Callithrix jacchus: one gene and its partner. The protein of the gene in region 1 purifies or fractionates together with the protein of each later gene. This does not show direct contact. Links are inferred from orthologs where the notes say so. Each region holds a gene or a part of one and is shown in the gene's direction. Other genes may lie near its edges. The genes, in order: ACAD9 and TIMMDC1.

Region 1 (2,721 bases):
CAGCCTGTAGCCAGGGGCCCAGCATACCCAGGCCAGGGAGGCCATGTTGCTGGACAGTGAACACTAGCAGCAAGGCTTCCAGTTACGGGACCACGGACTTTCTGCAGTGAGCTTAAACGGGCCAGTGTGAGCACAGTCATGGAGACTGTTGGCCGGAGGCTTTGGGACTTCACGGGCAGAACCGTGGACATGGGGCTGACAGGCAAACTTGGAGTCGTGCACCCCAGTCTTGAGGTGAGTGGGCCCAGCAGGCATACCCCCTACTTGCATGCCCTCTTGCCAGATCTCCTCATGGCAGAAAGGTTCACTGTGGGGGCGGTCTAGGCTCCTCCAGGGAAAGTTGGGGAGCACCAGCTAGTCCATGACACCTTGGATTGCTTCCCCCAGATGGGGCATCTCTGCCTGGTACTTGAGCTGTGGGACAGGACAGGGCATGGTAGGGATGAGGTGCTGAACTGAGTCCTGTCTTGGCTAATAGGATAGTGCCAACAAGTTAGAGGAGAACACCTACTACTTCGGCCGGACCGTGGAGACGCTGCTGCTCCGCTTTGGCAAGGTAACCAGGCCCTCCCAGGCCTAGAACAGAAATCTTGATCACCCTGGAGGAATGGGGTGGCTGAGGTCAGGCTGGCTTTATCAGCCTGTCCTGGGGCCCACTTAGCTACTCAGAGGGCACCCTTGTTGGGTGAGTATTCTGCTGTGTTTTTCTGTGCACCTTCCAGGTAAAGAGAGGCTCCCTAGAATCAGAAGGGCAGCACCACCTGGGGCCTGAATCTGGGGATCTGATTGGTGGGGCTCTTACTGCCGAAGATGACAGTAGCACAGTAGGCACTGGCTGTTGGTCTTAGCCAAGTTTCTGGGACCTGGTCATGCCTTAACCCCCTCCCTGAATCTAGAGACCAAAGAGAAGGGAAAACAGACCAAAGAGCCGGTTCTCCTGCAACCTGAAGGGAAAGGTGTTACTGGCTCCACTTTCTCAAGGAAAACGGGAGACTAAGACAGGCAAAGGTGCCGCCCTGGGAGGGACCATGTTGGGGGCTGGTTTAGGTAGTGAGTCTCCACTCAGAGTCTCTGTGATCCCAGACTATCGGGGAGGAGCAGCTGGTGCTGAAGCGGGTAGCCAACATCCTCATCAACCTGTATGGCATGACGGCTGTACTGTCGCGGGCCAGCCGCTCCATCCGCATCGGGCTCCGTAACCACGACCACGAGGTGAGCACTGCCCAGCTTCACACAGGGCCTGGCTGCTGGCCTCTGTCCTGCTGCACTTTAATGAAGTTGATTGTCGGGGAGGGGGGTGGGCGGGTAAGGGGGGCCTTGTTAGTCCCAGCAGAGGAGGGCTGGGCCAGTTCAGGGGGTGTCCATAGGCCCTGCATGGGGAGGCTATGGGAGAGGCTGTGCTGCTTAGGAGATGAGGCTGTTCCGTTTCTTCTTCCTGCCTGAGAGAAGACACAGGTGAGTGATGGGGGTTCCTGATCCAGTGTCCCCACCCACAACGAGGGGCAGACCCTGCACATTGCCCACTCTGCTGGAGGGAGGCAGGTGCAGTCTCTGAGGACCCACTGTGTACCAAGCTCTCTGCCTCTCAGAGGAAACAGGCTCAGATGTTGAGTCACTTGCTTTTGGGAAAAGAGCTAGTTTGGGTCAGGGGAGACTCCTGAGCCAAGCCCTTTGACCCCTCCCATACTACCCAGTTTGGCTGACAGGCTGGGTTTTTGAAGCTCAGAGGTCAGATTACAGGGATTTGGGCACATCTTTTCTGTCTTCGGTTCTGGCAGATTCTCTTGGCCAACACCTTCTGCGTGGAAGCTTACTTCCAGAATCTCTTCAGCCTCTCTCAGCTGGACAAGTGTGAGTGGCATGTCTTGGGGGAGGGAAGGAAGGGCCCACTTCTGGGCCCCTGTTGATGATGAGCTGTTTCTGGACCCTGTCAAGCTCCCAGTGCCTGTTGGCTACTCACAGACCTTTGTCTTGAGTGAGGGCCTGGGTAAGCCTGGGCTTAGCTGTAGAGTGCCTGCCAGGCACTGTAGGTGCAAAGCTGCTCCATTCACCAAGGCAGTTTGAGATCAAGCAAGTGCAGAGCCCCTGGCATCTGCCCAGCCTGCTGCCTGGCTGTTTTTTTTTTTTTTTTTTTTTGGGAGATAGAGACAGAGTATCATCTTGTCACTCAGACTGGAGTGCAGTGGTACAATCTCTGCTCACTGCAACCCAGGTTCAAGCAGTTCTCCTGCCTCAGCCTTCAGAGGAGCTGGGATCACAGGCATACACCACCATGCCTGGATAATTTTTGTATATGTAGTAGAGATGGGGTTTCACCATGTTGGCCAGGCTGGTCTCCAACTCTTGACCTCAGGTGATCCACCCACCTTGGCCTCCCAAAATGGGATTACAGGCGTGAGCCACCATGCCCAGCCCTGACTATATTCTTGAAGCTGTCCTGGGAAGGCTTACAAAGTGAGGAGCACCTGGTTGTAAGATCTGGAGATTTAGGAGACAGCATTTTATCTGCCCTTTTACCCACTGACCTTGCAGTGCCTTGCAGAGGGCTCAGGCCTTGGCTGAGAGAACAGAGAGCTTTGCTCGTGCTCCCCAGTCTTGTCTGCATTGCTCTTCCTCTTTTATAGCCACTCAACCATACCTGGGAATGCCCAGCTCAGTCCAGTTCTGACCCTCACAGTCATGTTGGCCTGAGACTCTGGGTCAATGTCCTTGCAGAGCCCA
Region 2 (3,824 bases), about 10 Mb from region 1:
TCTTGCTCTGTCACCCAGGTTGGAGTGCCGTGGCACCATCTTGGCTCACTGCAACTTCCGCCTCCTGGGTTCAAGGAATTCTCCTGCCTCAGCCTCCCAAGTAGCTGGGACTAGCGTGTGCCACCACGCCCAGCTAATTTTTTGTGTTTTTGGTAGAGATGGGGTTTCACTGTTAGCCAGGATGGTCTTTATCTCCTGACCTTGTGATCCACCTGTCTCAGCCTCCCAAAGTGCTGGGATTACAGGCATGAGCCACTGCACCTGGCTCAAGCTCAGAGAATTTTTAACTTTTTCTTTATTCTTTTTTCCCCCTCCCTTTTAATTCAGCTAAGATGAAAGTGGGTGAAAATTTTTAACCTTTTCTTTTGAAATTATGGCAGGCTTGAAAGTTGCAACAATAGTACAAAGATTTCCTATATACCTTCCATCCAGGTTCTCCAGTTAACATTTTACCATGTATGTTTTATCATTCTCCCTCTGTATAATATGTACTAATTTTTTCTGAACTACTTGACAGTAGGTTATAGACATAATGAATACTTCAGTGTGTATTTCATAAAAACAAGAACATTCGATTATACAACCACTATTATATCAAGATCAGGAAATTAACAATGATATAGTACTGTTATCTTATTTAAAGACCTGTAAATTTTGCTAGTTATCCCACAATATCATTTATTTTAAAAATAAATTTTAAAAAGTTTTTTTTCAGAAGTTAGGTTTGAGTGCTTATTAAAAAATTAATTAAAAATTTTTTTTGGTCTGGTCCAGAATCTGCTGAATTTGCTTGTCATGCAGCTTTGGTCTCATTTAGTCTGAAAGAGTTTCTCTGGTTTTTTTTTTTTGTTGTTGTTGTTGTTGTTTGTTTATTTTTCATGGCCTTGGCTATGGATAATTTATTTTGTAGAATATCCCTCAGTTTGGATTTGTTTGATGGTTTCTTATGTTTGATGGCTTCTCAGGCTGTTTTTTGACAGGAATACCCTAGAACTTATATTAAATCAGAAGCATGTGATATCTTTGTTCCTTTATTGGTGATGTTTACTTTAGTTACTTGGTTAAGATGGCCTCTGCCAATTATACCCTGTAAAATTACTGTTTTCCCTTTGTAATTTATAAGTATTTTGAGTACTTGTTAGTTCCTTTGAGACTATGTAAATATCCTACTTTTCATCAAATTTATTTTCATCAAATGCTATTTTGGCATTTATACTTTTTTAATTTTTTTTTTAAGTTATTTATTCATTTATTTTTTGACACAGGGTCTCACTCTGATACCTAGGCTGGAGTGCAGTAGCACAATCTTGGCTCGCTGCAACCTCCATTTCCCAAGCTTACACAATTCTCCTGCCTCAGCGTCCCAAGTAGCTGGGACTATAGGCATGTGCCACCATGCCCGGCTAATTTTTTTGTTTTTGTAGAGACGGGGTTTTGGCCATGTTGCCCAGTCTGGTCTCAAACTCCTGAAGCAGCATGCCCTCCGTGGCCTCCCAAAGTGTTGGTATTATAGGTGTAAGCCACTGTGCTCAGCCATACACACACACACACACACACACACACACACACACAGATTACAGAGATTTATCCATTGTTAATTCACCGCACTTGCTTTATCTTCTTGCTACTACGTGTACTCTCCCTCTTTGTGTATGTGTTTACACACATGGGAAAACACATACACAATTTGAACGTAACTTTTTTTTTAATCCTTTAAGTCCAGGGGTGCATGTGCAGGATTTGCAGGTTTGTTACTTAGGTAAATGCGTGTCATGGAGTTTTGCTATACAGATTCTTTGATCACCCAAGTATTAAGCCTAGTATCTGTCTATCTATCTATATATCTATGTATATCTATATATATATATATTTTTTGAGGCAGGGTCTTGCTGTTTCACCCAGGCTGGAGTGCAGTGGCGTGATCAAAGCTCACTGCAACCTCAAACTTCTGGACTTCAGCTTTCCTCCTACCTCAGCCTTCTGAGTAGCTAGGACTGCAAATGCACACCACCATGCCCAGCTAATCTAAAATTTTTTTTTTTTTTTGTAAAGACAGTATCTCGCTGTGTTGCCCAGGCTGGTCTTGAACTTGCGGGCTCCAGCAACCCTCCCTCATTGCCTCCCAAAGTGCCGAGATTACAGCTGTAAGCCACCATACCCAGGAAGTTTTAGTATTTAATGATGATTCCTGCCTGAGACAGATATGACTATGTTGACCAAATGGACATTTTCTAAAGTCTATCATTCTTCCTACATTTATTGCTTAGTATTATGCTCTAAGGAAGTGTTTATCCTTCCCCCTCTATTTACTTATTTATTTATCTCTTTATAATTTACTTCTATCAGTAGGGACTCATGGATTCTTATTTTATATTATAGATTTATAATTTGTTACAGGTTGAGCATCACAAATCTGAAATCCTGAATGCTCAGATTCAAAACTTTTTGAGCATCGACATGTCATTCAAAGGAGTTCTCATTGGAGCATTTCAGATTTCAGTTTTTTGAATTTGGGATGCTCAACCAATAAGTGTTAAATGCAGATATTCCCAAATCTGAAAAGATTCAAAATCCAAAACACTTCTGGTCTCAAATATCAGATAAGGGACACTCAACCATTTTCCATCTCCTGATAGGGTACACATGGAACTTTTACTTCAGCCTCAATACTTAAATAATAATATTTCTAGAGATTTTCTAGTATTTCTGTCTGTTTAGGTGTACCTGACGAATCCATAGCTAAAATTCCTCTACCACAGTTCTAGAATAAGGAAAATATGATGGTGTCTTGGAACCTCACAGTTTTTTTAATTAACTTTAGCAATGTGCACATCGTGCTGCCACACGAGGCTTCATTCGGTATGGCTGGCGCTGGGGTTGGAGAACTGCAGTGTTTGTGACTATATTCAAGTAAGTTCACGCTGAATTGTGAGATGGTAAATTTTCTTGATATTGTTTTAGCAGTGTGTCTTATGAGCGGGTGGGATTATGAAAACTGAATACCCACATGAAAGTGATTCATGATACCTTTTTTTCAAGAACTTTTGTTTATATAAATGACTGGCATAGTTTTGGTTTGACATCCATGTCTGGAACACATTGAAGGGGCCTAGGCTAGGACCAGAGATTGATACAGTAGGCTTTTCTAAATCTATTAAGTCAGCGAAAATAACACTCAAAAAGATAAATGGGATATGCTTTAAATATTATATTTTCCTTCTCACTTGTTCCTAGCACAGTGAACGCTGGTCTGAATGTATACCGAAATAAAAATGCCGTAAGCCATTTTGTAATTGCAGGAGGTAAGACATTTTTGTTTATATTTTCCAATCTTCTCAAATACAGCTTAGAAAATATATGAAGACGGCCGGGCGCGGTGGCTCAAGCCTGTAATCCCAGCACTTTGGGAGGCCAAGGCGGGTGGATCCCAAGGTCAAGAGATCGAGACCATCCTGGTCAACATGGTGAAACCCCGTCTCTACTAAAAATACAAAAAATTAGCTGGGCATGGTGGCGCGTGCCTGTAATCCCAGCTACTCAGGAGGCTGAGGCAGGAGAATTGCCTGAACCCAGGAGGCGGAGGTTGCGGTGAGCCGAATTTGCGTCATTGCACTCCAGCCTGGGTAACAAGAGCGAAACTCTGTCTCAAAAAAAAAAAAAAAAAAGAAAGAAAATATATGAAGACTTATAAATCAGAACTACTGAATTCTTTGGTTGGCTTCCTATCACATCTTATCAACATTCATGCAAAATGTCATTATAGACAGTGTTGTGCTTCACCCTTGGTATACTCAATGAGCAAAATAGCAAGGCCCTTTCTTTCT

Evidence for each region.
Region 2: the proteins of ACAD9 (region 1) and TIMMDC1 purify together in Homo sapiens (affinity purification with mass spectrometry; 3 studies listed by BioGRID and IntAct, counting the BioPlex papers as one, with this or other methods). This does not show direct contact. The link is inferred for Callithrix jacchus from reciprocal best matches to the Homo sapiens genes ACAD9 and TIMMDC1.

What each region holds. Positions count from the first base shown.
Region 1 is NC_133516.1:73,255,011-73,257,731, reverse strand, and holds part of ACAD9 (complex I assembly factor ACAD9, mitochondrial), read left to right. Parts: intron 1-107; coding exon 108-234; intron 235-478; coding exon 479-556; intron 557-938; exon of another isoform or gene 939-1,083; coding exon 1,084-1,212; exon of another isoform or gene 1,213-1,404; coding exon of another isoform or gene 1,405-1,439; intron 1,440-1,778; coding exon 1,779-1,851; intron 1,852-2,373; exon of another isoform or gene 2,374-2,721. UniProt on the Homo sapiens protein: As part of the MCIA complex, primarily participates in the assembly of the mitochondrial complex I and therefore plays a role in oxidative phosphorylation.
Region 2 is NC_133516.1:83,300,200-83,304,023, reverse strand, and holds part of TIMMDC1 (complex I assembly factor TIMMDC1, mitochondrial), read left to right. Parts: intron 1-2,821; coding exon 2,822-2,910; intron 2,911-3,234; coding exon 3,235-3,302; intron 3,303-3,824.